Rhinolophus ferrumequinum: one gene and its partners. The main gene of each other region encodes a partner of the protein of the gene in region 3 in a complex. Links are inferred from orthologs where the notes say so. Each region holds a gene or a part of one and is shown on either strand. Other genes may lie near its edges.

Region 1 (7,046 bases), on a different chromosome or scaffold from region 3:
GTTCTGGTTACTGGAGTTATAATGGAGTAAGATTAATCACAGTGAAACCTGTTAGAAATTCAGGCAAGAGGTGATGGTGACTTGGATTGAAATAGTGGCAAAAGGGATAAAGAAAGAGATACTATTTGAGAGAAATTTCAGAGGTAGAACCCTTGTTACTTGGTAGTTGAATGAATATGGTAGGTGAGGGAGAGGGAAGAATAAAAGATGAGTCAAAGAACCTCAAATTGGTTTTGGAATGATATTGCTAAAAATACATTCCCATCACCTGCACTAAAATAATGCTAATTAAATCAACATTAAAAGCTCACTTTTACTAAATAATAAGTGACAGAGAATGCTCAGAAGTGAATCTTATGGATCTGAAGAACTGAAATTGACCCTTTCTCATGTATAATATAGTTAAGCCACCGAATAGGGAGACAGATAAACATAATTTGATGTCTTTTCCCTTTTTTATTTCATGTTTCCTTTCTCTTTCTGCCTTATTTAATACCTTTTTAGTTCTGTCATTGTGTTATTTTAATTTTTTAGTATTGGGTTGAACCATATGTGTAAAAGTTGCCATTTTTATAAATTAGAAAGTATTTAACCAGAAAAGCAATGGTTAAATATTGGCAATTTCACGTTTCATCCAGTTGCATTTTTATTCTCTAAGAATTTGGGGACTCCCTGTCACAAAGACTGCCTTCCGTTCTCTAAGAATTTTTAACTGAGGCTCTGAGGGGTCATTTTGAGTTAAGTTGAGTACCAGTGACTATATGAAGGAATGTTGCTGTGATGGCATAGGGACAAGTGGAACTGAGCCCCGTTACGTAGGTGACTTAACCTGCCAGCATCCATTCAGTGCATGATGAGAGAACATCTTGTGGCCAGTTTTTTATTTTGTTAGCTTAACCCAAAGGGACATATTTTATATTATTTTGGCTGGTTTTTGAAAACTTGATCAAATAATGCATAGAAATAGTACATAGAATTTGGCAAATTCATAAAATATAGAAAGTCATAAAGAACAAAATAAAAAAATCACTTGTAATCCCACTATCCAGTGAAAAGTAGTTGAAGTTTAATGTATTTCCTTCCAGTCGTATATACACATATATGCAGAAATAGTTACTCTGTCTTTACTTAAAAAAAAATAAGTGTGTGTGTGTGTGTGTGTGTGTGTGTGTGTGTGTGTGTGTCATGAGACTTCATTATTTTATAAAGGAAATGGATGTATAGATTTTGGTGGGGACATAAATTTATTGTCCCCCCATGTCATGAATAATTTGTCTCTTCTGAAGAAAATGTTTTTATTTTTTTTTTCTATTAGGGAATATTGGGGAACAGTGTGTTTCTCCAGGGCCCATCAACTCCAAGTCATTGTTCTTCAATCTAGTTGAGTCCAGTCACCATTTTCAATCTTTAGTTGCAGGGGGCACAGCCTACCATCCCATGCGGGAATTGAACCGGCATACTTGTTGAGAGCTCGCCTTCTAACCAACTGAGCCATCTGGTCGCCCCAAGAAAAATGTTTTTCTTTAATTTAATATAAAACATTTAACTCTTGACTGGCTTGATAAAGTGTGGCTATCAGGCTATTTTTTTTAAAGTTTCCTATATGAATATTTTGATCAAAGCTCCAAGAGTGGTTTTATTGAAATAGAAACAAAGTCGGAAGAACTATTGTTGAACTAATAATAGTAAATGTAACAACTTGCAGTTTTACTGCATTTTTATTGCATTTTAATTATTTCAAGTTATCAGCCAATGTAATGTGGTTTAATTAGCATAACTGTTTTGTTTTCTTATGAGAAACCTGAGGTGTACAGATGAGTTACACGCCCCAATTCACAAGGAGTTGGAAAAGCCTGGACTCCTAACTTTGGCGAATGCTTTTTCCTCTTACTGAAATAATCACTCTCAGAAATAATTTCTTTTTTTTTTTCAGTTCAATATTTACTAAGCACTCAAAAAATGCAAATTCAAAAATAAAGTCTATGCAAATGTATAGAATAGTGAGTAACGTGGTTTGGCTGGAGGACAAGGTGTGTGGGGGGCTATAGAATAGTGGTACCAGATTGGAAAGGCAATAGGGAGCCATAGACTTCTTCTACACTGGAGTACCATGCTTAATAAAGTACGTGCTACTGGTACTCAGTCAGGCAGAAACGGATTAGAAAGTGAATAAGCCAAGCCGATATTGAATGATGGCCTAAAATAAGGTATTCAAAACTGAAAGAGGAAGTGAATTTGAGAGCTGCTGTAGAAATAGTTTCCCAGGACTTGGTGACTAAGAACAGTACATCTAGGGAGAGAGTGGTCAAGATGATTCCTAAGTTTCTTTCCTGAGTGCCTGGGGAAATGTTGGGAAAAACAGGAGAGGCTTATTTGGTGGAGAAAATGTGTTTAATTTTGGGTGCTGCGGTTGAAGTCTCTACAGGACATCCAGGTGGAAAATGTGTGACCGGCAAGCAAATTGTAGATGGAAAGGGGAGTTCATGGGTGAAGTCAGGGCTGGAGACACAGGCTGACTAATTATTTGTGTAGAGGGAATAATTGATGCCATATCATCCCTACCTTCACTAGCCTTCGTGTATTTGAGGAATGCATGACAGTAAAATATCTAAATAATTGTTGTATGCCTTAGAACTGGGCAGTCACAAATAAGAGAGGGCACTTTAGGATTCAGAGGAGCCCTGCCTCAAGCAATGCAACATGATTGGTAGGAAAACAAGTTGTTTTAATTGTATGAGAAGAAAGTGAGTAAAGTTGTATCCTCCCTATGTGCTAAGTATTGCTAAGCCTTTTGTACAGACTGTCTCCTCTATTTCTTAATAACCTCATGAAATAGGCAGTTATGACCCTCATTTCTCAGATGGTGAAACTAGGGCTGAGAGAGGCTAAGTAATTTTAGAGCAAAGATTTGAATCACGTGGGAGTTCAATGCCATGGGTCTTTTTACTGTGCCACACTTTGCTGTGTTTTCTAGTAATACCTGTCAAATATGGCTATCAAACTTATACTCAATAGGTTTTTGAGTTTCTTGCCTTTGTGTGATGAACATAGTGCTTCAGATCTTAAAATGCAGTTAATGGGAATTCTGATTATGGGTGGCCATTTGCCTGCAATGAGAAAGCATGTGTATGAAACAAATAAAAAACAAAAGTTGGATCACATAACATATATCTCCACCCAGGTTTGTAGACATTCTGCAATACTTACAAATACCAGCATTTGTTTATTTTCTTTTACTCTGCTGGGTCGGGGGAACTTTATTTAGAAGGATGAATTGAGAGTCCAGTGACACCTAGAGGAAAAGATAACTGAAAATACACATTTTCTAATTAGCTGAAAATTGTCATCATTTATGGCATTACCAGAAGAGCAGACAGTATTATTCCAGTTTGCATTGTTATTAAGTAGGCACAAACAAGATTGTGTATTCTGAGATACATTCAAGCCCGGTGGAAATGGGCACCTTCACTTTTCCATTTTTTGTTTATATGTTTGCTTCTCAGCAAACTAGAAACCAGAAGTGGCATCTCAAAAATATAGGATAGTATTAAATACCGAAGCAATGTAATTCCTCTTTTCTCTATGTGTACTATTTCTGCAGTATTCAAAATAGGTGAAATTTTCTTTATATTTCTCTTGAAAAACTGATTTTTAAGTTTGCTTTGGTATTTTGGTCATCTTTCTTAATATTGGCCAATATCCAGTGGATCATGAGAGAAAATTAATGCTGAATATTTAGCCTTTCTAGCTAGAACTTCTTGTGCGGCTGAATTCCGATCCCTCACTTGCCATGCATTGTTAACATTGTTCTTTGTTCCTTGGGAAAATGCAACAAGAAAATAGGAATTTCCTTTCACCATTACCCCTCTGGCAGTGTGTTTCAATCTAATTCCTAGCTGGCACTCTGTCCCAGTTACTACCCCTTCTCCTTACTAGCAGTCTGAATTCTTAAAAAGGGGATTCCAGACAGACGAGGAAACAGCTTTCAAACACTGCACTGCAGGCGTATTAAGTTATTCCCCCACTGTGCAGTCTGGAAGTCGGGGAGTGCCTCTCTGTGATGAATTCTAATGAGCTACTAAGGGTGCCCGAGTGTGTGCGCGGACAGGCTTTTTCTTTCCCCTCCCCCTGCGTCTTCCTTTTCCCAAGCCCCCTCGTCTCCCTGTTTCCCCTCCTACTCCTTTATCCCCTCCCTCTGTGTCTCAGTTCTGCAGTAAACGGGGCTGAGGCACATTCCTGCTTTGCAAGGCTTTCTGTTAAGGATGTTCTGTCGCTTTTGTTTGGATTGCAGCATGCAGAATTACAGGTAACACTCTGAAATTTAGCTAGACAGACAAATGCTGTTGAAATGTTTTCAAAGAGGCAAAATATTACATGGGAATCGATGAAAATAAGTTATTTTAGCTAATTTTATTAGTAGTAACTATGGTAAAATGTTTTCAGAAACGCTATAAGCAGATTCCTTTTCTACCCCAAAGGCTCCAGTGAAAGGAAAAGAGGGGTCGATTGATCTGACTGTGATTGATTTTGTTTTATGTTGATCATGAAAGCTTGCTGGTGCTGTGCCACCTCTGTAGAGTAAGGACCAGTTATGTGGGGTGCTACTGAGGGGAGCCATGAATAGTTGTACTGAGTGGGCTGGGATGGAGTGGCAGGAGTGATAGCAGCCTGAGCTAGCCAGAGTCTTTGATTCTTGCATTGGGATGCAGAATATAAAACGCTCTCTCCTTTTCTTCTATCAGCTGTTCAGAGGAGACTCATTACTGCAGCAGTTCCTAATCCTCCTCCCTTCTCCTCTGCCCCTGCCCCTACCCTCACTGGCCTGAAGACCTTGTGCCCAGAATTTGACTTGCTTCCCTGGCACTATGTGTCTGGTAAACTTGACACTATGGCCGTGTCTGGGACTGGCTATACAACTGCTGCTGGCTCTGCCTCTTCCAAGGAAGTAAAGGGGGATTGCGCTGCAGGCAACGCACCAGAGCAGCAGCATCGCGAGCCTGGGCGTTATTACAAACAGAGCTGACCGCAATGACAGCCGCTGCTCCTTTGAACTGTTGGCAGCAGCCAAGCGGCAGCATGAAGTGAGAGATCACTCCTGAGCTCAAGATGAACTCCACCTTGGATGGTAATCAGAGCAGCCGCCCTTTTTGCCTCTTGGCATTTGGCTATTCAGAAACTGTCAATTTTTGCCTTTTGGAAGTGTTGATTATTGTCTTTCTGACTGTATTGATTATTTCTGGCAACATCATCGTGATTTTTGTGTTTCACTGTGCACCTTTGTTAAACCACCACACTACAAGTTATTTTATCCAGACTATGGCATATGCTGACCTTTTGGTTGGAGTCAGCTGCCTGGTCCCTTCCTTATCGCTCCTCCACTACCCTCTCCCGGTGGAGGAGTCCTTGACTTGCCAGGTGTTTGGTTTTGTAGTATCGGTTCTGAAGAGTGTCTCTATGACCTCTCTGGCCTGTATCAGCATCGATAGATACATTGCCATCACCAAACCTTTAACCTATAACACCCTGGTCACACCCTGGAGACTACGCCTGTGTATTTTCCTGATTTGGCTGTATTCCGCCTTGGTCTTCCTGCCTTCCTTTTTCCACTGGGGCAAACCTGGATATCATGGAGATGTGTTTCGGTGGTGTGCGGAGGCCTGGCACACCGACCCCCACTTCACCCTGTTCATCGTCATGATGTCATATGCCCCCGCAGCCCTCATTGTCTGCTTCACCTACTTCAACATCTTCCGCATCTGTCAGCAGCACACAAAGGAAATCAGCGAAAGGCAAGCCCGGTTCAGCAGCCAGAGTGGGGAGACTGGGGAGGTGCAGGCCTGTCCCGATAAGCGCTACGCCATGGTCCTATTCCGGATCACTAGTGTGTTTTATATCCTCTGGTTGCCATACATCATCTACTTCTTGTTGGAGAGCTCCACTGGCCACAGCAACCGCTTCGCATCCTTCTTCACCACCTGGCTTGCTATTAGTAACAGTTTCTGCAACTGTGTCATTTATAGTCTCTCCAACAGTGTCTTCCAAAGGGGACTGAAACGTCTCTCGGGGGCCATGTGTATTTCTTGTGCAAGTCAGACTATAACTAAGGACCCATACACAGTTAGGAGCAAAGGCCCCCCTAATGGATGCCATGTCTGAAGTGGTTCAGATACTGGGTCAGTGTGTGTGTGTGTGTGTGTGTGTGTGTGTGTGTGTGTGTGTGTGTGTGTGTGTCCATCCTTTTTATCTGTCTTCCTGTTCACTAGAAAATCTGGAATAAAATAATTGACTCTAAGCAATAGCAAACAAATGACCCATCCAAAAAGCCTTCTAAGTTTGCAGAAATGATTTTCTAAGAAGAGCTTTTGAATGAGAAGAATCAGGACCATGAAGATAAATTGCTCTTGGTTCCAATTTTTGTAATGTCATGGAAATGACTACAGTTCTCAGATTTAAAATGAATAAAGCCATATCCAACACCTCTCTCCAGCTGGCATGACTGAACCTGAGTGTGAAAAGCGTCAGCATTTTAAAAAGTCATCGTTTTCTTGTTGCTTTTCTGGGTTCTTTCCAGTTGTGTGGGCTTCAAATGCAATTGATTTAACAGGGACGATTAAAATACAGTGATGAATTAATTAACAGGGTTTTTAAATTTTATTTATGTATGCCAAAGTGTAACTACACTGCAAGTTTCAGCACTGTCATTTAGGAAACCAAATGTTTTATGTCTTATTCTCTTGAGAGAAGTCTCAATACAGTGAATAATGTGGACACTTAAAACGTTAATTTTAGAATTTTGCAATGAACCATGATACAAAAGTACAGTCAAATATTAGACAATTTATGAGAAACCAAGCTTCTTTTTGTGCTATGCTTCATGGAGATTTAAAGAAATGTGTGCATAGAAAATGATTCTGTTACAGTATTTTTACCCGTGCCTTTGTGTATGTGTGTGTTGAGAATATTTTAATTGAGACAGATTTCTCTTTTACAGCAAAATGTACACTTAACTAGTTCATTTTTAAAATAGAGATTGAGGTCTTCTCTTG
Region 2 (7,152 bases), on a different chromosome or scaffold from region 3:
TGGTGGTAGTACTTGTCTCGTTGGGTGTTTGGGGATTAGCTCAGCTAGGTGCCTGGCACGTGGTGAGACCTCAGAGACTATCAGGCTGGAGCAGTGAGCAGCTGGAGGACTCTTGCCCAGGTTCTGAGACTACAGGTTCAGGTTCAATCCTGGTACCAGCTAATTAGCTTCATGGAAAGAACATCTGTGTGTCACCGGCCCCGCTGGAATGGAGAATCCAGACTTCTTCTGCCCCAACCTCACCGAGGCCAGCCTGTTTCTCCCATCCTTACTCACTACGCAGCGCTCCCTACAGTGTGGGATGGGAGATGACTCTAGGTGGTAAGTGGACACCCCGTAAAATAACTGGGTCCCAGTGACAGTTCTCATCCAGCTATTCTGGTTACATCATGAGGAAGTCTCACAGAGATGCAATTTCATCTTTAACATCTGTCCTAACACTTAACAGAGAGGAAGCAGGCCTCGGCTCGGTCACTTCAGCGATCCAAGCTGGACTTCAATAACACTGCTGGGTTCTGCACCCTCACCGAAGCTGTGTCTGATCACCTTCTATTTATGGCAAAGATATTGATTTTCCATTTCCGGAGGAGAGAAGTTTTCTTTCTAAATAAATCCCTGGCAGTGGAAAGATAAATGAGATGATTTAAAGAAAATGCTGAGTACTTATGAATGAAGTGGCTTGAGGAGTGGGGGCGGGGCGCTGGGTGGAGGGAATAGTAAGCCAGATATCCCAAGGTGGTTCCTTTTGCCTGAAGTTTGGGAAATGCTCCTTTACAAGAATCCAAGGAGAGAGTGGGGATAGCCCATGGCAACCATCCTACAGCTAAAGAACCAAATCAGTCATAGCCACCTGCCGAGATTCAAGAATGTTCTCCAGTGAACACAGAAGATGGGCGAGAGCAGGCCTGCAGCCAGGACGTCCAGCCCCCCAGGGCCCCGCCCTCATTGATCGGCCAGCCGCAGCACTAGGATGGAATAAACAAGACTGCGGACAAGCCTTTCAGCCCTCGGCCAGTTCCCATCCCAGGGACCCACGAGACCCAGGGACCCACAAGACACCCTTCCGTCCTGCAGGAGCCTCCTCCACCTGAGGCTAACCAAGGTAAACCTCGAGAGCCCAGCTGGAACTGGGCTTGTGTCCTAGTTCTCTGGGACTCAGGCCTGGTCTGTCTCAACCCCCATCCCTCAGGTAGATAATAGGACTTGGGACTGTGCGGCCTGGGTGACAAGAGCAAGTGCTCCCCTTCTAGACACTGCAGGGCCTTGAGCGAAGGACACCTACCCCCTTCACAAGGACACCGGCCCTCGTGGAGTTTACATTAAAGTGGGGGAGACAGACCATGAACAAGTCAACAAATAAACTGGGGATCCAGCTAGGGAATGACAGAGTGGGGGAGGGCGGGGGGTCTGCAGACACAGTGGTCAGGGATGGCCTCTAGGGAGAGGTGATCTGTGAGCTGAAAAGGTCAGACAAGGGCAGCTCTGGGGGGGAAACATTCCAGGCAGAGGGAACAGCAAGTGCAAAGACATTGACAGGGAAGTCAGTCTGGTGCTTGCTAGGAACCGTCAGAAGGACCACATGGCTGGTGCCGAGAGGCAGGGGCGAGAGGTGCAGTGGAAGAGGCTGGCAGGGTGGGGTCCTGACCCGGGTCTCCTCTTTATCTTGACAGCAATGGGGAGCCACTGAAGGGTTTGAAGCAAGGGAGTGACGTGGTCACTTTTTTCATTATTGCTATGGCTCTTGTGCAGAAAATGGATGGGGGTAGGTCTGGAGTGGAAGCAGCGGGAGCCAGCGGGACCTCAATGGTGGTTTGGATTAGGAAGGTGGCAACTGTTTAGGAGGCAGCAGCAACAGGTCTCACTAATGAATCCCATGAGCACGAGGGAGAAAAATTATCCCTAAGTTTCCGGTGTGCGATGGTATGATGGTGCCATTTGCCATCCTGGGGAAGACAGGGGAGGAACATGTGGGAGACTTGGGATACCCTGAATTCCCTGTTGCATGTTACCTTCCAGAAGCCTCCCTCACATCCTGGGGGGGCTGTCTGTAGACAGTCGGGCAGAGTCTGGAGTTCAGAAGAAAGGTGGGAGCAGAGAATGGCCACTTGGAGGTGGCCAGCAAGTGTGTATGAAGTGGTGGATGCCCCATAAGCACCAAATGGCGGCTCATTCCTCTCCATCCCACAAGCCCTGGTCTCCCTGCGCACCCCAGGTACCTGCGGCGGCTCCAAGGCCTGGCCGGCCATGCCAGTGGTGAGAGAGGCCACCTGCAAGGCCTGCTTGCGGGCGGCCAGCAGGATCCTGCAGTAGGTGAAGCAGATAGCGCCTGAGGGCAGGAAGAAGGTGAGGCCTGATGCCACTAGGACGAAGGGCAGGCTGGCCAGCAGGCGGCACTGACCCGGGGCGGGTGCTCGCGCGCGGCCCAGCTTGTGCCAGCCCAGCAGCAGGGGCAGGAAGGAGGCGAGCGCTGCAAGGCTCCAGGCGCTCAGGACGAGCGCCAGGGCGCGTGGGGGCGTCATGCGCAACTTGTAGCGCAGCGGCGAGAGGATGAGCAGATAGCGGTCCAGGCTGATGAGGCAGAGGTTGAGGATGGAAGCGCTGCAGCACATCACGTCGAAGGCGGCCCAGAGCAGGCAGAGGTCACGCGCCAGCACCCAGCGCCCGTACAGCGCGTTCAGCATGGCCGGCGGCATCACCACCAGCCCCACCATCAGGTCCGACGTGAAGAGCGACACCAGGAAGAAGTTGGACATGTTGCGCAGCGCCCGCTGCGTGCAGATAAGCGCTATGAGCAGCGAGTTGGCCACCGCCGTCAGTGCGATAACCACACATAGCGCAGCTGCTACCCAGCCGCTGCCCGCCGGGTCCGACGCCAGCCCCGACCCCCAGTCGGGGGTGCTATTGTGGGCAGGGCCAGGCTCTGGAACCATGGGGACGGGGGATGGACTGCAGGGCGGGGAGGCCCGAGACGGGTCCTGAGGACCGGCGAGAAGCCACAGTGAGGGACCTGGAAGAGTGGAGGCTGGCGGGGCGTTGTCAGTGAGAACAGAACCCCCCCGCCCCGCCCCGCAAGGGGGGCAGGTGGGAAGAGAGGAACAGGGCGATGGGTCAACGGGCAGCGACTGGAAGAGGATGGAGAGAGGTTATCTATGGGCGTTCTCGGGTGTGGGGCAGGTACACCTGGGTCAAATGGGTAGGAAGTTTGGGAGAGGGCACTTGAGGAGGAGCAGGGTGCCTTAGCGGGAGCGAGCAGAAAGTCAGGAGGATGGGGACGCCAGAGGACTCTTGGAGGTTAGATGCGTGGAAGCAGAGCCCCTAGAAGGGGCGGTAAGGTTGGAGCGAGGGCGCCTGCCTGGGGCAAAGACCCAGGGAAGTGGGAACAACCGGCAAATGGGAGGCAAGCTCTCCCGCGGCAGGTAGGCGTGTGGGGGCGCTAGGTCCGGAGCCGTAGTGCTTGGGGTCGCAGGGTGGCGGCCCACGGGCCAGAGCTAAGCCCCCGGCGGGGAAGGCAGATCTCACAGCCAATGCAGAGGCACCCCTGGGATTGGGCGAACAAGATCCCCTGTGGCGTGTGAGGGGACGCCGTGCGGGCCGGTGGGGACTGAAGGAGCAGCGACAGCGCCTCCGCCCCCTCCCCACCCGGCCACCGCGTCGCGGGCCCGCTACCGCCGGCGTTTGGTACCTGGGGCGCTCAGCGCTGCTCCGCCGCCGGCGACTGCGGCAGGTGCCGCGGGGCTGAGAGAGGAAGAGGCGGCCGCGGGGGAGGGGAGGCAGGCGCCCAGGGAGCACGGGAGGCTCCGCTAGGGGCCGGAGCGCGCGAGGAGGAGCCGGCAGACGCTGCCAGGAGTGCGCGGTCCCCGCGCGGAGGAGCTTGCGCCCCGCCCGGTGGTGGGCGGGGAGAGCCGAGCCCCCGCCTCGCAGGTAGGCGGGGTCCCAGGACCCCAGGCCTGTGGAGGGACGATTCGGTCAGAGTGCCCCAGCAGCACCAGGTAACGTCCCGCCTGTGGTCACCTCCACGGCCCCACATACGCATCCCCAACCCACAAGTGGCAGCGGCAGCGCAGGAGGAACTTAGAGGAGGGGGCTGTGACCTATCTTTATCCAGAACTGCCCCCCCAATGTGGGGCTGCCCACCCACCACGGGGTTCACCACATTAACAGGGGGAGCCAATTGGGAGAAATTGGGCAGATAGCTTGACAGCCATATGTGTACACACACATACATACACATATGTACATATAATATATAATATATGTATACATATCATCTATAATAAACTGTATGATACTTTCTTCAAACCTTTAAACAGCAGGTTACTTCCTCAGGGTCTTCTGAGCAAAACCATCTCCCGACAGCACCAGGCCCTAAGGATGAAATTTCTGACCTGTTGGTACTCCCAGTTTAACAGAGCATGAACCGATTTGAGAAACCCCAGGCCTGGTGGGGTAGAAGCACTGCAGGTAAAGGGGTGGGGTGAGGCATCCCTGGCTGTGAGCTGGCTGTGTATCCCTTCCCCTGGCTAAGAAGAGTCTCTACTGAACACTTCACAGATTAATATTGTAAATTCCATCCATTCATTCAACAAACATTTATTGAGCACCTACTAAGTGTCAGGCACTGTTTTGACCAATTGGGACACTATAGGAACCTAAACAGAGATTCCAGCTTCATGGAATTTACATTCTAGTAGAAGGAGGCAGACAATAAACACCAAGCATAATAGATGCTTAGTAAATGAACTATATATGACATCCTGAGCTAAGGATGAGGGTAGGGTCCTGAGGCTTCAGGATGGAGAAGGGTCATTGCAGATGAATAAGAACAAGTGCTCAGTAATTAGATGTTTGCCCTGCCATATAGATAGGTCAAAAAAGGTTATTTCTGGTAATAACTCTTATTATGGGCAAGGCTCCAAATTTAAACTCTTTACAAGTTTCTCTTGAGCCCACAGAGTTTCAATTGCCTTTAGCTCGAAAGAATCTGGGTGCCACAGAGGCACATCTTGGGGCAACTTGTTCTGAACCCCTACAGCTCCCACATAGAAGGGTCCTGCTATGTGTCCCAGGGGCTTTATTATATTATTCTAACCTCTACAATAATGCTGAGAGATAGGTGTTAAACTGGGGCTCAGCGAGGCCAAGGGTCTCACCCAAGGTCACCAGCAGCAAGTGATCAAGTGGAACTGAAACTTGGGTCTACCCAACACCCAAGGCAGAGAAATCTCAAGACCCTACAGCACCCCTCACCCACCCGAGCCAATATTTGACTCTCAGAGCCCCAGTCTTGCCCACAAATGGGTCTGTGCAGCAGAAAGTGGAACCTATTGTCCCTTCTAATACCACCTGCACCACCATGACAATTTCTGTTGTGCCCCAAGGAACCGCGTGTAGTATACCAAGCTCGGGCTGAAAATCCTAAAGACCACACTTGGGATCCCCTTTCTGCTGCTTACCAGCTCAGTGGACTTAGGACCAGCCCCTCGATCTCCCTGGGTCACCATTTTCTCATATGCAATAGTTAGCAGAACAATACAGCACTGCAGGGACTCTGCTCCCGCTCCGAGCACCAGAACACAGGATATGGTGAGGCCAGAAAGGAACACCCACGGAGCCATAGATAGGGGAGTCATACCACTATATTCTCGCTGGCGGCTGGTGGAGACACAGGAAGCAGGAGCCACACGATGCACAATCTGCCGGCCGCTTCTCTGCCAACCAACCCACCAACGTAGCCACGGCAATTATATCAATGGCTAATGGCTAACCGGTAACAGCTGATGGCCAACTAGTCACAGCTGATGGCCATCTACTACCCAAGCCAGCATCTTTCCACGTGAGGCCGAGAGCCTGGAAACTGCTCTCTGGGACTCTGTCCCCACAAGCACCCATCTCACAGGGTTGTTGAGGGGATGAAATGACCTTGGTGTAATCTGTAAACTTCACAGTGCTGTGTTATTACTAGCTGTTGGCCTCAGTGTTCCCATCTGTACAATGGGAATGCATTCAGCTCTGTGGAAATTCCTGTAACGCAGGGATTCCTGGTTGAACAACAGCAAACCCGAGAGGTGCCGTGTACTTTGGAGCCCAGTGACCTGAGTTCATAACCCAGATTCTGCTCCTCGCTCTATGCACTTGGCAAAGCCTCTTAAGTTCTCTACTACTATAAAAAACTAGAGTAATGAAGATGTGACTAGAATGAGTATTTAAACCATTTCACACAGAGGAGCTGCCTGATAAATTTTAGTTTTGAACCATTTGTGACAACATGGATGGATCTTGAGATTATAATACTAAGCAAAATAAGTCAGACAGAAAAAGCAGAGAACCATATGATTTCACTGATATGTGGTATATAAATCAAAAACAACAAAAGAACAAGACAAACAAATGAGAAACAAAAACTCATAGACACAGACAATAGTTTAGTGGTTACCAGAGGGTAATGGGGCTGGGGGGTGGGAGATGAGGGTAAGGGGGATCAAATATATGGTGATGGAAGGAGAACTGAATCTGGGTGGTGAACACACAATATAGTTTATAGATGATGTCATACAGAAATGTACACCTGAAATCTATGTAATTTTACTAACAATTGTCACCCCAATAAACTTTAATTAAAAAAAAGTTTAGTTTTGAAAAATTGGTGGTATATAGTGGGATAGAATATTAGTCCCTCTGCTTTAACTTTTGCTGTCAAGTTTGATAGCCTTTATTTTTTTTAAGACCTAAAGAAGACAAGACAAAAATGTTAATGTTTGTTCATTCTGGGTGATAGACTCACTGATGTTTGTTACATTATGATCTATATTTTACTATATAATTAAAAAATAATTTTTCCCCAAAATCATTGGCCTGGGGAGTGGTGCCACCTTGTGGCCACACTATTATCTTGAGTTTAAGAACTTTTCTGAAGTCCCGTGTGGACCTAAATTTATCTTTTCTGTCATGGATTGATAATGTCCTAGACTTCCTTAACATTTCAAGGTAGAGAGGGACCATCAAGGATGGTTGGCCTTTGCTTGCTTACTTCTAGCTACAGGCTGTTCTCTCCCTAGAGGAGAAGGGTGGTGACACAATGGGACAGCTGAGTCTTAGGAAGTCCTCTGCCCCAGGCCTCCATTTCTGTCAGTACATAGAGGACCAAGGAGAGCT
Region 3 (7,752 bases):
ATGATTGGCTTACCTCGGGCTCTTCCCTAGGAAAAAAATTATTTCATGTTTTAAAAACATAGCCACGCCCACCCCCTCGGAACAAGCCTGGCGTGGTTTTTGGATCCAGACTTGCTTTACTGCAGGTTATGCGTTTTTTCCCCCTCATCCCTCCATCCCCCCCACCAGGTGAGCCGAATGTGTGCAGAATACCGAACTCGTGTGTGCAGCCCGGGACGCCCCAGATACCTGAGTGTCTGGTTTTTCAACCGTAAAGGCGGGAGAGTTTGGCGAACGAATGAGAAGTGAGGAAACGCTTAGCGCAACGGGAAAAAAGAGAGAAAGACATACAGAAAAAAAGGTTATGGAGGCCAGCGGGAAGCGGCCCCCTCTCCCCCCAGCCAGTTGCCCAACATATTACCCCGATGTCCCACCACCTTTTCTCCGCATTTTTCGCGCCGCCCGCTGCAGAGCGCCAGCTCACAGGAACCACCAGAGTATGCGAACACGGAAAGTTTTTGCCCGCGCCATGGCGCACAACACAAGACAGCCCATTCCCCAGTACAAGTACACAGTCGGCGGGTAATTTGGGGGTGCCAGGGATGGGAACTGGGAGACACTTGAGCATATCATGCACAGGCGGACACAATATGGACACCAACACACACCAACAAGCTGTCTGAGTCCAAGCAGCCGTGCCAGGCGAGGCGAGGCGGGGCGCACCTTCCCCACGACCCCAGCCCACCACGGCCCCAACAAGCCTAGCCTGGGGAGCCCCGAGGCCCCTCCCCGGTAGTTCCTGGCTCACCTGAAGCCCCCGCCTTCCTTGCCGGCCCCCACCCCAGGACTCGGGGTCGTCTTACGGTCGCTGGCGCTGGCTTGTCCAGCTGGAAACGACCCTCAGTGTTGTACGGCACCACTTTTCTCCCTGGAGGGCACATACTTCGGCCACCCAAGCCCACCCGAGCCCACCCCCCTCCCGGGGCAGAGTTAGGGCCCCTCACTGGAACTTTCTAGCAGGCTATTCCCGCCTTTGCCCAGACCCCCTCCTCCCGCCGCCAGGCCCGAGCCCCACCGGGCAGCCCTGCCACCCCCTCCCGGGTTCCCCGGCGGCCCTGCTGCCCGCGGGCAGAGTCCGCCGCATTACCTAGAAGCAGCAGGCGGTGCGTACACATGTAACCCATCTTTTCGTCCTGTAGTTGCTTGTCGATGAGCTTGCTGCGTTTCTTCTCTGCGCGCTTCTGAGCACGCTGCTCCAGGGCTTCCTTGCGGATCTGTCTGCGCTTCTCCGCCAGAGGAATCTTCTTGACCTTGGGGCTGCGTGGGGCTTTGGGCTCGGCGCTCTCAGATCGGCCGAAGCAGCCCCCGAAGGCTTGCATGAGGAAGTTGCGGAGCAAGTTGCGCCGGGGCTTTCGGCGGCGGCGATTTCTCCGGGGCTGCACGCAGCGATGGCATCCGAAGGTCCCATCGTCGGATTCATCGCTGCTGCGGTCGTCGCTGCTGACCGACCCCTCGTCGTCGTCGCGGCCGCGGCTGCGCTCAGACCTGCCCCGCCAGGCATACGCGCGAGGAGGCTGCGGAGTAGGCGGATCGGCAGCCTGGATCTCGGGGCTGGGGGGTCTAAGGAAACGGAGCTTGGGGCGGGCTCCGGAGGCAGGGGCCGCAGGGGCTGCCCGGGCAGCAGGAGCGGCTGGGGCGGCAGGGGCTGCCCCGGTGGCTGGCGCGTCAGAGGCGGCTGGAGCGGCTGGGGCTGTCCCGGCGGTTGGAGCGGCTGGGGCTGTCCCGGCGTCTGGCGCGTCAGGGGCGGCTGGAGCGGCCCCGGTGGCAGCAGAGGCAGGGGCGGCTGGAGCGTCCCCAGTGGCAGGAGCTCCGTCGCCCGGAGAGGGGACTTGGCCTCCGTCCGCAGCAGCAGCGGTTGAGCTTCCTTCCATCTCGGCTGCTTCTCCCTCAACTGGGGGTCTCTCTCCCTCTGCTCGCTCTCTCTTAACTGGGGCTCGGGAGACCTCGATGGGCGGGCCATCAAGCGCGATTGGGGGGCTGTCCATGTTGACGGGAGCGTCGTCGACCCCAACGGGGGCGCTACCAATCTCGAGCGGGGGTCCGGGGATCTCCATCGGGGGGCTGTCGCCAGCGAAGTGCGGAGGAGGTCTGACAGCTTCTCGGGATGGGCTGCCGATGGCGATGGCGCCTGGGACCCAGAGGGGGGGCTCGCTCGTGGCGGGAGCGAGGAGGACCGCACTCGGCACCGCAACTCCCGTGAACTGGCTGCTGCTACCGCCGTCGATTTGTAGGATAGCTCGGGGGAGCCCAGGGGGTGGGCTGTCGTCCCCAAAGGCTGCTCCATCAAACTCAAATGGCATAGCCTCCTCAGGGGGAGGGCTGCAGCCTCCTCTGAAGCCTGCATTCGCAGGCCTGAGGGCTTGGGGCTCCTCAGAAGGGGTGCTGTGGACCCCCACACCTGGGCCTCCTGGAGCGAGGTCTGAGACCTGCAGGAGAGGTTGGCAGCAATCTCCCTGGGCAGGTTGCTCAAACTCAAAGGGCATGGCTTCTTCGGGTGGAGGGCTGTAGCTTCCCAGGCCTGGCCTGGCCTCACAGAAGGCTCTGGGCTCCACGAGCGCTGAGTTGAAAGCCTCGAGGCCTGCATGGGCCCCACTGGTGTCTCCAGGCTGCTCCAGGGTAGGCCAGAAGCTTCCCAAGCTGGGCTGCTTGACCTCGAAGGGCATGGCTTCCTCAGGAGGTGGGCTGTAGCCTCCATGGGCTCCGGCTTCCTCGATGGCCTGGCCGAGGCCTTGGAGGTTGGGCCTGGAGACCTCTGGGGGTCCACATGCCTCGCCTTCAATCTCGATGGGGACGGGCTCGCTGTTAGGCGGTTGGGTCTCCATCTCTTCGGCTGCGCTAGGCCCAGCACTGGGGGCAGCTGCCCCTGGGGCCTCCAAAGATGGTTGCTCGGACTGCTCCCCGAGTTCAAGGGGGATATCGCGTTGTCCTGACATATTATTGCCGTCGAGGCAGTTGCACACGCCCATAACACGGTGGCGAACTCTTAAAATAAACTTGGGGCCCCGTAAGACGGAGCACCCAACCGAACTAGGGTGAAAAAAATATCTTAAAAAAAAATCAAAGTACCAGCCAGAAAGTTCTCCAACCTCACTTTCCAACCCTCCTGAGGTCTAGGGGTTCAGGGCCTCAAACCTTAGACTGTGGCAGAAGCAACTCTATTGTTGCTGGTGGAGTGTTGGCTTCTTCTTGGCCACTTTTTATCCCCTCAGGCAGCCCCTGGCCCCCCCTTGGCCTGCCCTTGTCCCCTCCTCTCTCTCTTTCTCTCTCTGTGTTCCAGGCCAGCCCCGCCTGCTTGGATCTGAGGAGCGTGTCGATTCGGTCCGAAAATCGCTCGTAGTGCTCTCTTTCTGCCACCAGGGGACGCCGGCTGGTGGCCAGGCGGCTCTGGGAGCCGGTTCCTGGCGCCGGGAGCCCCGGACTTTGGGTAAGGGGGCTGTTGAGCTCAGGCCCCGCTGGGACGTTTTGGCTCTTTCCACTGCTCTCCCTGACTGATTTGGAGTCTTTCTCCTCTCTTCTCCCCTGGCCAGAGAGAGAGCCTTCTCCTGCGTTGCGGGACACGTGACGCAAGACGTGGGCCCCGGGCTGCTTGAGCGCAGGAGCTGAAACCCTCCCTCCCAGACCCAACTGACTCTCCTTGGGGGAGGGGGAATTGCATGATGTTTTCCTCACCCCAAGTTACCCCTGAACACCTGAGCCGCAGCCCCCAGCCTTGGGCAGCCTTCGATCCTGAGCCCCAAATCCAGAGCGCAAAGCTTTGGGCGCATGGGAAAGGGGTGTCAGCATGCACGAGGATGCGACAGGTGGTCGTGAGCCCACTTTCAGAGAGGACAGGAGGCGAGGGGCGAGGTGATGCCGTGTGCGCACACAATTGGTGTTCTAAATGCCTTAGTGTACTTTCCATCGCTTCTGCAGCTTTTGTTTTCCGGCTTGCCGAGGTTGGCTCCTGTAAAGCACTTCAATGTCCCCCGTACCCACCATGCTCTGGGGGGAGGAGGGGGGGTCTTCGCAGGAGCTTTGAATGGCGCAGGCTGGATTCTCCCGATTTACGTGGACGATGATTCAGGGAAATAGAGGGTCTCGGGCGCATACCACGGAGACCCTCTAATTGGTAGCCACCGCGGCACATAACGGGGGGGGGGGGGCGCGGGATGCGCATGGGGACCCCACAGAGTGCAGGCCTCAGAGTTCCGGGGCTCCTACTGCTCTGGGGCAGGGTTAAAGGAGATTTCAGTTGGGGTTAATGGCTGATTTAGAGTGGTCTCAGAGACTGGTCAACCATTTGCGCACTGAACCCAAAGACACATCGTGCCCTGCTGTGCCGTGCTGTGCCAGCAACCGCGGCCGCGGTGCGCTGTTTCCTGCCTCGGGCGCCGGCTGCAGGGTCGATCAGTTTGTTCCTTCCGTTAGCTCCTCTCTAGCCCCCTCCCAGCCCCTCTTCTCTCGCTATGAGTCTCCCGAGGCAGCCGCTTTACTTTCCAACTGCTGTAGCCCGCCGAGGTGGCACTAAGCTCTGCTAAAAACCCAGCGGCCGCCCTGCTGCGCTCCCGTCTCCGTAGCGCGTGGTGGGCTCAGAGCTAGTGGGGGTAAATACCCACACTACCTGGGTGGGCTTGACGCGTGCGCGCGCACTGCTCTGGCTCTGGGGTCTGCAGTAGGATTTGAGCCCAGGAAAATTTTGCTGCTTGCGGATCACGTAAAACCCGGGACATGGGTATCAGGTCTGTCTCGCCAGCAGGTGACACAGACCTGAGAGCCACCTTTAGGCGCGAGGCAGCTGGGCAGGGGCAGGTGGACACCTGGCTTACGGGCGGGCAGCCCGGCGGATGAGTGTACCAGTGGATGGGCTGCGGCAAGCGAGGCACACCGCCTGGATCGCTGTATCTACGAGCCGCAGGCGGGTGAACCACGCATGATCCAATCTCATTAAGTGTAACACGTCTCTTTCAGAACGAGACCACATCCACAGCGCAGCACTGCCCCCGCGTCTGCCAACCGTGTTGCCGCGCTGCACAGAGAAAAACTGACAAAGTTGGACCCTGGGTAACGTTTGAGGTCCCTCAAAGGTGTATCACCTCAGCTCTTTGGACCTACACACTTCCAAATGCCAACACTGAACTTTAGTTCAAACTTTGGCCAACTATACCCACGCGTAACGGCTCAACCATTTGGGCATCCACTGAATGGGCCAACTGGGTCTCCTCAGTCAATTCACTCCCCTCCGACCCCAGCACTGGGTCAGCCATTGGGTTGGGGTCACGCCAATCAATGCTGCCTGGCGAATGAGCAGGGGGCGTCGGACCGGAAACCGGATATGAGTGGGAGGTCCAATAGGGGGCGCCGCGTTAGAACGTCCTAAGAGATTGTGCTGCTGGGGTAGTTGGAAGCGGTCGGTGGGCCGGCGTATGGCGGCCAAGCGTGGGACGCCACGAGGCCGGCTGGCGCCGGGCGGTCACTCTTCCTGACTCCAAAACTCACAAATGCTGGAAAGATAATTGAGGGTTCTTAGGGGCCAACCCAGGGTCTCACTGATGGCGGTGGGCAAACACACCCAATACCCGGGACCGCCGCCGGGGCAAGGAGGCTTTCCAGGGCCTGGAGATAGAGGGCCAGGACCCTGAAGAAAGAGGGGGCTTACTGCTCCGAGGCAGACGAGCAGCCCCAGATGGATAAGGAGTTGAGGCCCCAGGGATGCTGAGCTCTGCCGAAGTGGAAGGTCAGTAGACGTTGGGGTTGGAGCCCCAGGGAGGCCGTGATGGGGGCCCCAAAGGGACGGTTTGCTCTCGCCAGGCCTCGCGCTTGGCCCACTTCACTGGGGCTCTTTCCCAAAGCACTGTTGTTCAATGAACGGGTACCGGGTCTCTGACATCCCCGTAGGCCTGTGGGACCCCTTTGTCCAACACACACTTTCTGGTATCTTGGTTCTTTGCCAGGAGAGCACATGCATTGAGGGGAGTTAAGACTGGGCAGATAGATACCAACCCTCCATTCTAAAGGGTAAGCAACATAGAATGAAAGACCTCCAGTTGGGGGGATCTTGAAAGTCTTGATGGAGAAAGTGGCATTTCAAATGTGCCTCCATGGAGGGACAGAAGGTTTGGCTATGAATAGAACGTGGCGGGGATAGGAGATGTTGGCTGACCATGAACGAAGATGCTAGGAAACAGAGCTGGGTAAAGAGAATAGGACACTGTGTCAGGTCTTGGAGGACCAGTGGGAGAGAAGTCATGAAAAATTGGATAGGATCTCTCCAAGAATACTATGGCATATCAGAACAACAAGTTTTGAGGCTATTTATGTTGGAAATGGAGGTGTTGATGGTTTTTCAACACCTGCAGGTGAGAATTTGAGGCTAGTTTTAGGAGAGGTTAAGGCAGTATGGAGGATGGTCCTGATGAGAAAAAAAGGGGCTGTGGCTGGTCATAACCTTTAAGGGAGGGAGAACCACACATAGTAAAGGAAGCAGGAAGGCCGAAGAGAGGGGCTCGAGGGATCCTAAAGGACCCTCTAGCAACTTCTGTGCTAAAATGGCACAAAAAGTGGAGGAGACAGAATTTGGCACCTGGGTGATGGGACACGTGTGGGAGGATCTGGGGAGGAGTTGGCATGGTGGCGGAGCCATTTGGTTTTAGACATGGCAGAGGTGAAGGAAGGATGGGCAGTCTGGATGGAGAGCTTTACAGCCTGTTACTTAGGATGGGTCTGAAGTTCAGAAGAAAGATGACAACCCCAAGATCAAAGTGACGGTCATCCTCATTAAGATGAAATCGTTGGATGAGAAACACCCTCAAGGGGAGAAACAGATTTGGTGACAGAATCTTGAACACTTGGGGGTACTAGAGAGGACATCACAGAAGAGAGCAGTGGGGCTAGGAAGAGACCCATAGGCTCAGACCAGAGGGAAGAATTTAAGAATCGGTCAGCAGATCTCGTCTTAAAGGAGCTTCCTTAGCCTCTGCACTGCTGACCTTGGGGACAGGTGATGCTTTAGTGTGACTGCCTGTGCACTGTAGGATGCTTAGCAGCATCCCTAGCTTCTACCCACTAGATGCCAGTAGCATCCCCTTAGTTGTAGCAACCAAAAATGTCGCTAGACTTTGCCATATGTCCTCTGGGGGGCAAAATCGCCCCCCAGTTGAAACCACTGCTATAGTCTGAGGAAGGACCCTGTAGACTTGAGTAGGAATCACCTTAATTTAAAGGTAAATTAGGACCAGAAGAAAAAATTCCAGTACTTAACTCTGATGGTCCTTTTGTCTGCTTCTGTTTATTTTTTCTGCAGTGACTGGCCCCCCAGAATCTGAGAACCCCAAATCTCTTGGGTGAGTGAAACTCCACCGCAGATCAGCAGTGCGACTTTAGAGACCCCCTGAGCATGGCCAGATGTTTGAGGAGCTGATTAACCAGAAAGGCAGCTGGGTGGCCTGGCCACGGGACTCAAGGAATCTGGCATGGTAAGAGCTGGGGTTGATCAGCTGGTGGGCTGCTGGGGCCACTCTGATTGGGGGGCCTGCCTGGGGAGCCCGCTCAGGGCTGGTGATCTTGTTGGCCTAAGACAGATGGACTTGGCTGGGGATGAGTGGCTGTGGGCAGCCTAGGCCGGGTCTAACCCCGCTAGGGACATAGTTTCTAGGATCTGCCGTTGTAGTTTTATAGTAGCCAAGTACGTTAAGCACCGATTTCCAATTCTGGGTGGTTTTCTATCAGGGAAAGAGG
Region 4 (7,004 bases), on a different chromosome or scaffold from region 3:
AGTGGAGTTGGGGTTGCCACGTCTTGGTCCTGGCTGCCTGGCCAGGCTGCAGTTTCCCCCAAACCGCCACCAGAGGGCAGCCAGCCCCCAGCGCAGAGGAATTCTCGGTTGCTCAGGTGATGGCTTCTTAAAAAAATAAAAAACCAGAGGCTGGTGTGTTCCCCCACTGAAACCCTAGAGGGGCAGGCCTAGGGAGAAGGCTCTGGTTTCTATGATCTCTTCAATAAAAAATAAGCAAAAATAATAACAAAATACATGATTTCTCTTTCTCCCTTTCCCCCCTCTAGGAACTGAGGTCAGAAATGTGGGTGTGGGGACTGGGGATACCCTGGTATGGCCTGGATTTCAAGGTGGGGGTCTCTTTTTTTCCCCTCATACCCATAAATAAATAAATAGATAAATCATAACTAGATACTCTCTTTGTAAGTGCACATATATACATATATAGATATAGATAAATCTTTTTCTCTTTCCCCTGTCTAGGGAACTGAGTGGCTAACCTCTCTGACTCTAGCTCAGAAACTCAAAAGTCAGGTGACATGGTCAAGTTCAAGGGAGGGGGAAGACCAGGGACTTGGAATGGCACTGTAAAACAGCCAGCAGTGTTCTGGAACTCCAAACCAGCTGGGCTGTGGGACATTTCTGAGTGGAACCCTGACCACTTGAACATTCTAGAACCATAGAGCCAGCTGGGCCCTGCAGGGATCTGAAGAGAATCCTGTGAAACACCCAGAACCAGCTGGGTCTTTGGGGTGTGGAGCTGGGGGCTTAGAACAAAACCCTGGAGGACCTAACATCCTGGTCACCAGGGTGTGAAGTGACTAGACGTCACTGGGGGAACGGGATCGGAAGGGGATCTTGGAAGAGGAACAGGAACAGCAGATGGCCCACAGCACCTTCTGCACGTCCTGGTTGCGGAAGGCGTAGATGATGGGGTTGATCATGGAGTTGTAGGTGGCGGGGAGCAGAGTGAGATAGGTGTAGAGGGGTGAGGAATAGGCATCGCCCAGCAGGCAGTAGACGGTGAAGGGCAGCCAGCAGGCAGCAAAGGCGCCAAGCACCACAGCCAGTGTGGCAATGCCCTTGCGGGTGGCCACGTAGTGGGAGGCAGGCAGCAGGTGCCGCTGGAGGGCAATCTGCTGGGCATGGCGGCAGACGATGCGGCAGATCTGGGCATAGAGCTGCAGCATGATGCCAAACACCATGAAGAAGGCAATGGCCAGGATCACCAGATGGTTCTTGGAGAGTGGATATACCACGCCGCACGTGGCCTGGGAGTCCAGGCAGTTCCAAGCCAGCACAGGCAGCAGCCCCAGGCCCAGCGCAGCCCCCCACACGAGGGCCAGCATCACATAGGTCCGCGTCACCGTTGTCTCTGAGTAGTAGGTGAGGGCATTGTACAGAGAAAGGTACCGATCTACAGTGATGGCCAGTAGGCTGCCAATGCTGGCAGTAAAGGCCATCGCCAGGACGCCAACCAGCACCAGGCTCATCTCTGCGGAGCCAATGCAGAAGACAGCAGCAAAGTGCAGGACGAGGCCCAGGCCTGCCAGCAGGTCTGCAACAGCCAGGCTGCCCACCAGCAGGAACATGGGGGCACGGAAGGCAGGAGTGCCCACAATGATGGCCACCACCAGTGCGTTCTCGCAGGACACCAGGGTGCCTGAGATGCACAGCACCACATCCCAGGCTCTGGGTGAAGGAAGAGGTGCAGCTGGTCCTGTGGGTCCCTCTGCTGAACCCACGCTGCTCATATTCACGTTCCCTGGGCCAGCAGAGAGCCAAGCCAGGGGGCTGCCTGCACCCCACATCATGGTATCTGTAGGAGAAAGACCCTATGAGAAGCTGGCAGGGCTGGGTGCTGGGCAGAGGGATCTGTAGGGGCTGAGGTCCCTCTCTGGATACTTGGTGGGAGTCTCTCCTCAAGATACTTGGCTGGGTCCTGATGCCTTATCCTGCACGCATGCTCCAGGGCTCCTTCCAGGATACCTTTGTCCTCTCTCATGCCCAAAGAAAAGCTCAGGTCTCTTTTCCTGGGGATTCCTGTCCTCGGTGGGACTCTTCATCTCCCTTCCAACTCTCTGGGTCCTGTAGGCCTCTTTCTCTCACGTGTGTGACAAGAGGAGAACAAGATGAAGGACTAACATAAGTGGATGGAGGCCTGTAAGATCCAGGAGATGCTGGGAAAGGCCAGGACTGAGGAAGGGAAACACATCTTAGAACTGAGAGCAGCTCTGCTCCATACCCATCCGGGAGGAGGATGCTCAGTTTCTGAGGCTCGCCAGACCCCGCACGATTGTCAGCAATGCCAGCCTCAGGCTCCGCCCCCAGGGAGTGCGCGTGAAGCTCCCGCCCGCCCCCACCCTGCACTCCTGGGGTAACAACACCTGGGAACTCAGCACCCCCAACACACACCCGCCCAGACTTCTGTCCCCGGCCAGATCCTCTTTCTGTCTGAACCTCTGGGTCTTTGGAATAGACACCTCCTGCTAGAAGCCTGGAACCCTAAGTCAGACCCCTCCTTCGGCCCGGATACCTGAATCTTGGGCCTGACTCCGCCTCCTGCCGGGATGTCTGTATCCCTAAGTCAGACACCTCCTCCAGCTCGGACGCCTGGGTCCGTTCCAGCCGTCTCCTGCCAGCCCAACCTCGGATGACCGTCAGCCCCTCCAGAGCCCTGGGTCTCTGAAGGACTGCTCCACCTCCGCTGGGTCACCCCACTGATGCGGTCAGCACCCAGACCTGGGTCCCCGCCTGCTAGCCCAGAATCTGGGTTCCAGCTATTGACCTCCGACCCTGGCCCGCCGCTGGGAGCCTGACCGCTGGCCCTGCGCCCCAGCATTCTACGTGCCCTTCCGGACGCCTAGTGCCCGAGGCGGGGACCGCTACTCACCTCTTGGGACCGGGCGCGGCCGGGCCGCGCGGGAAGGTTCCACTCGGGTCCGGGCAGCTCAGGGTGTGAGCGGACCCGGAGAAGCCCCCGCGGCCGCGGGAGAAGCGGCGTGAGTCACCCCGCCCCGCCCCCGGCCACCGGTTCGGTGACGTCAGAGGCTCGGTTAACCAATGGGCACGTCGCGCTGGGACGCAGCGCGCGTCGAGAGGCTTAGTAATAAGGCCTCGCACCGCCCGCTCCCCCATTCATAAAAAGCGACCGTAGCCGCGGCTCCGCCCCTCCCGACTCGGCCCGCCCTGTCCTTGACGCGGCGCCCTCTGCGGGCCAGGGGTTTCGGGGGCGCAGGTGGGAGAGCCTTGGAAAAGTCTCAGAGAGGATGCAGAAGGTGTAGCGAGGTAGCAGGAAGGGGACCCGGATAGGCAGTGGGGTGATGGGACCCTTGGAGGCAGAGACAGGCTGACGAAATTCAGGAGACTGAGACCATGTGATGGGGTTGAATGGGCGTCCCCGGTGAGGATGACTGAGGTTGTCAAGAAGATGGGGCCCTGAGGTGACGGTGACAGGAGTACGAGGGAGCATGGAGGTGGGTGGCAGTGACGGTATGAGCATGGTGACTGGATCTTGGGGGATGGTGGCTGAAGGACGCTGTCATACAGAGGGAAGCCCCTAGAGCAACTATAGCAGTGTCAGGGTGACTCTGTGGCATGATGGGGTTCAGAGATCACAGGGTGGCAGAGAGGATGGCAAGGGAAGATGGAGTGTGCAGGTGATGGGACTTTGTGTCACCATGACCGTGTCACAAGAGCTGACGTACGTACTGAGGTGACAAGTTACTTAAGTGATGAGGGCTGTAGGGTCCTGGAAGGAAGTTACCAGGTGACTGTGGTGAGTGGGCACCGGATGAGTGAGACAGAGCAGTTTGGACTGACAGTGATCAGGCAGGTAAGTTGCTGCCAGAACAGGTCCTCGTGATGCTGGGGCTGGGATAAGAAGCTGGGTGACATCACTCATGTCAGCCCAATAGCACCCTCACAGCATGGGAGGGGTTGGGCCTGGCAAAATGTCAAAACATGAATTATTTATTCAAGGATCTGGAAAGCCAGCAGGGTGGAGGGGGTACTTCCCCGAAGCAGCTGGAGATCGGAAGCTGGGAAGAACTTGGAAGCAGAAAGCCTGGCAGCTCAGTTCCAGGGCAGGCCCCTCTCAACTTCCCATCTCGGGCATCCTGGCAGGTAGGGCATGGAGAAAGAGCTCCATCTTCCCCCAGCTCTGTCCTTAGTCCCAGAGAATCCCCCTGCATCTCCAGATGTGACAGACATGGCCAGTCCTGGGGAAGGGGAGCTGGCTGCTCCTCCTCCCTCTGTCTCTAGCTTTGATCCTTGTTGGAATCATCCAGGCCCAAGGAATGGGGGTGGGGGCCAGGGATCAGGTTAGGACTTGAGGAAACCGGGGGGGGGGGGCTCAGATCCTAGGCCCCACTCACTTCTCCCCCAACACAGCACCACTGCAGTTCCCACAGTTAGTGTGGGGCCGGGGGAAAGAGGTGACAGGCGGGTGGCAGAGTACTTGGGAAGAAAAGAGGGCCAACGTAGAGAAGATGATCTCTACACATCAGGTTGGAGTTTGGGGTGCTTAGCCGATGGAGGTGGTCAGGAGCGTAGACTGGATTCGATCCCCAATTCCTCCATTTCCTAGCTGTGTGACTTTGGGTGAGTATATTAGGTTCTTTGTGCCTATTTTCTCACCAATAAGATAGGGGTAACGTTAGTATCTACCTTATAGGATTGTCGGGAGGGGCCTGGCACTGGCGGGAGGCTACCAACAGTATATCTGACAGGAGAAGGACAGCCAGGAGGCATAGGTATGCAGGCAGTAACTGGGGTTCTAGGGTAAGTGACATCACCCAGGGGAGGGAACAGGAGCCTCAGGGAGTGAGGAGGAGCCTCTGGGAACACCCCCATTAAGGGGACAGACTGTGGATGAGAGTGCTCCTATTCCCGGGCCTTTGCACTGGCTGTTGCCTCTGCTTTGAGCCCTGTCGTTAAGGTCTTTGCACCCAAGTCACTTGTTCTGAAGCAGGCTTCCCTGACCTCTATCCTAGATTAGCACTCTCTTTCAGCACATAGTATGTAGTAGGTGTTCAACAAGTATTTGTTGACTGGATAAAAAAATTAAACTAACAAGCAGCATCTAGAGAAAGAGAAGGAAAACAAGTAGTAGTATGTTAGGTGTCAAGGAAGGTGGGGTCATCAAAGAGAGAGAATACAGGGGTGTTCAGGTCTCCACTTTCTCCCCCATCAGAGCTGGGTCCCAACAACTGTCCAGTGGGTCTTAGAGATAAATGAAGGCTGCTGGGAGGTGGGCATGAAAGAGGTGTATAAGAAACTATCTTCTGCTAGTCTGAGTGGCAGTGATAGTTCTTTTTTTAAATTTTTCATGTTATTAATCCTCTCATGAAAAATCGGCACAATTACCACAGATGAAGTCATTGCAGAATCTTCATTTCTTTTTGCACCAACATTGGCCTTTGCCATCATCCTGACCTTCATTCTGTTCTCACATTCTTTTTGAGATCTTTTTCATCTCTTGGAGGCCGAGCTTGTGTTTGGGTTCATTTTAATTTGCATGATCCAAGGAATCATAATTTATGTCAAAGTCAGTCGTTTTACCAGCACCAAAATGGGTTCTAATTCCAAATATGAAGATGATATCTGGTGTGGTTTTGTACATTTTGGTTATTTTTCACCAAATTTCTGTCTTACGTACTGTTGCCTTTCCAGAGAGAAGGACATTGATGACCATGTTTCCATGGAAATAGTTGGTTGGCCAGAACTCCTGATCCAGATAGTTCCTGGGTGATTCGTGATGGAGGTCAATCTTCAGGCAACCAGGGAGGAAGAGTACAGTGACATTCCAACCCTGAGAAACCTTTAGATCCAATAGATTCAAGAGAGCTATAGATTTTCATGTGCACACTCTCTCTCGTGCTCAAAAACTGCCCATGCCAACAGGACACTGGAAGTTGTCACTGCCAACCAGGTCTCTCTTCCCCACAGATCTGCTGTCTAGAGAAAGGGGCAGCCCTTTCTCTTCTTCTCTCCTCCTCATGCCCTCTGCCCTACCTTCTTGTTTGTTCGCACCATTGACACCTTCTCCTATCCTTCCCTCCTACCTGGTGCCAAACCTCAGGGCTTACAACAACCCATTCATCCCCATTTCATAGGTGAAGCCCAGAGAAGCCGAATGAATTGCCCCAAATCACACAGTACATGACAGAGCTGGGATCTGAAGCCAGGTCTATCTGTAACCAAGTCCAGTGTGCCTTCTATTCTAGCCTAGATGTCACCATCTCCCCAGAAGGGGCTGGGAGTGACATTTGACTAAGGCTGACAATACCTGCAGTTCCCCAGGTGTCCACCAGATGGCTGTGAGCATTCACTTCCAGGTATGACTTCTTTCCTTCTCTCTTCTCTCTCTCTCTCTTCTAGGGAATCCCATGGGCCTAGGCTCTCAAGGGAGGTTTGTGTGTGAGGGACACAGATAAGACCCACACAAGCTCCTTGTCCAAGCCCCGAGAATCTGGGCATCGTCATTGCACACTTTCTTAGCAAAGCCCCATTCATTCATTCAGCCAATATTCACTGACAGTTTCCCTGGGCTTGGGTTGAAGTGGGTGCTATGGACAGAGAGATGATCTGGCCACATCCTTGCATTGTCAACATTCAATAAATACTTATTGAACATCTACCATTTGACAGGCATTGTTCTAGGCGCAGAAGATACAGCAATGAACAAAAATCCCTGCCTTCTTCATGGAGCTTCCATTCTGATGGGGGAGAGAACAATCGACAAATAGATACTTAATATGATAGAGTAGGGAGCTCTTGAGGATCTCACAGACCAGTGGGATGGACAAACATGTACACAGTCACAACATGGTACAGTATGATTATTTAATACACACCTACTTAGCCCTTATGTGTACAGGGAGTTAAGTATGGAAGAAGATAAACATGGTTTCTGCCTTCATGGAACTTACAGCCTAGGACATGAATGAGTAATCTGATACATGTTTGAAGGAAAAAGGAGGTTTCATGATGTAGAATGACCA

The links.
Region 1: the proteins of GNAS (region 3) and GPR21 are in contact, whole or in part, in a cryo-EM structure (PDB 8HMV), measured with the Homo sapiens proteins. The link is inferred for Rhinolophus ferrumequinum from reciprocal best matches to the Homo sapiens genes GNAS and GPR21. Residues at the interface, in NP_000507.1 of Homo sapiens: Gln35, Arg38, His41, Val217, Pro321, Asp323, Arg342, Asp343, Leu346, Arg347, Thr350, Tyr358, Cys359, Pro361, Phe376, Cys379, Arg380, Asp381, Ile383, Gln384, Arg385, His387, Leu388, Gln390, Tyr391, Glu392, Leu393, Leu394; in NP_005285.1 of Homo sapiens: His61, His62, Thr64, Arg127, Ala130, Ile131, Thr132, Pro134, Leu135, Thr136, Tyr137, Asn138, Thr142, Pro143, Ile214, Ile217, Cys218, His221, Thr222, Asp224, Ile225, Arg228, Gln229, Arg231, Phe232, Arg249, Tyr250, Val253, Leu254, Asn308.
Region 2: the proteins of GNAS (region 3) and HTR6 are in contact, whole or in part, in a cryo-EM structure (PDB 7YS6), measured with the Homo sapiens proteins. The link is inferred for Rhinolophus ferrumequinum from reciprocal best matches to the Homo sapiens genes GNAS and HTR6. Residues at the interface, in NP_000507.1 of Homo sapiens: Arg38, Ala39, His41, Asp215, Lys216, Val217, Phe219, Leu346, Thr350, Tyr358, Cys359, Phe376, Arg380, Asp381, Ile383, Gln384, Arg385, His387, Leu388, Arg389, Gln390, Tyr391, Glu392, Leu393, Leu394; in NP_000862.1 of Homo sapiens: Arg124, Leu127, Ile128, Pro131, Leu132, Arg133, Lys135, Leu136, Ile211, Gln218, Gln221, Val222, Leu225, Thr226, Lys265, Ala266, Thr269, Leu270, Phe323, Met324, Arg325, Asp326, Lys328.
Region 4: the proteins of GNAS (region 3) and GPR3 are in contact, whole or in part, in a cryo-EM structure (PDB 9LYB), measured with the Homo sapiens proteins. The link is inferred for Rhinolophus ferrumequinum from reciprocal best matches to the Homo sapiens genes GNAS and GPR3. Residues at the interface, in NP_000507.1 of Homo sapiens: Gln35, Arg38, Ala39, His41, Val217, Phe219, Asp323, Asp343, Leu346, Thr350, Tyr358, Cys359, Phe376, Cys379, Arg380, Asp381, Ile383, Gln384, Arg385, Met386, His387, Leu388, Gln390, Tyr391, Glu392, Leu393, Leu394; in NP_005272.1 of Homo sapiens: Met75, Arg134, Ser137, Leu138, Tyr139, Ala141, Leu142, Tyr144, Tyr145, Glu147, Ile216, Ile219, Val220, Arg222, His223, Gln226, Ile227, Leu229, Gln230, Arg231, His232, Lys244, Gly245, Thr248, Arg300.

Annotation. Positions count from the first base shown.
Region 1 is NC_046295.1:73,154,908-73,161,953, forward strand, and holds the start of GPR21 (probable G-protein coupled receptor 21), read left to right. Parts: upstream 1-4,045; 5' UTR 4,046-4,306; intron 4,307-4,742; 5' UTR 4,743-5,106; coding exon 5,107-6,156; 3' UTR 6,157-7,046. UniProt on the Homo sapiens protein: Orphan receptor.
Region 2 is NC_046292.1:13,238,958-13,246,109, reverse strand, and holds the start of HTR6 (5-hydroxytryptamine receptor 6), read right to left. Parts: upstream 3,004-7,152; 5' UTR 2,931-3,003; coding exon 2,217-2,930; intron 1-2,216. UniProt on the Homo sapiens protein: G-protein coupled receptor for 5-hydroxytryptamine (serotonin), a biogenic hormone that functions as a neurotransmitter, a hormone and a mitogen. Also has a high affinity for tricyclic psychotropic drugs.
Region 3 is NC_046306.1:3,450,990-3,458,741, forward strand, and holds the start of GNAS (guanine nucleotide-binding protein G(s) subunit alpha isoforms XLas), read right to left. Parts: upstream 3,006-7,752; coding exon 1,127-3,005; intron 908-1,126; coding exon 788-907; intron 1-787. UniProt on the Homo sapiens protein: Guanine nucleotide-binding proteins (G proteins) function as transducers in numerous signaling pathways controlled by G protein-coupled receptors (GPCRs).
Region 4 is NC_046292.1:18,762,271-18,769,274, reverse strand, and holds the start of GPR3 (G-protein coupled receptor 3), read right to left. Parts: upstream 3,004-7,004; 5' UTR 2,894-3,003; intron 1,820-2,893; 5' UTR 1,815-1,819; coding exon 822-1,814; 3' UTR 1-821. Other genes in the region: CD164L2 (CD164 sialomucin-like 2 protein), read left to right, coding at 3,391-3,403, 3,982-4,125. UniProt on the Homo sapiens protein: Constitutively active G-protein coupled receptor that maintains high 3'-5'-cyclic adenosine monophosphate (cAMP) levels that a plays a role in serveral processes including meiotic arrest in oocytes or neuronal development via activation of numerous intracellular signaling pathways.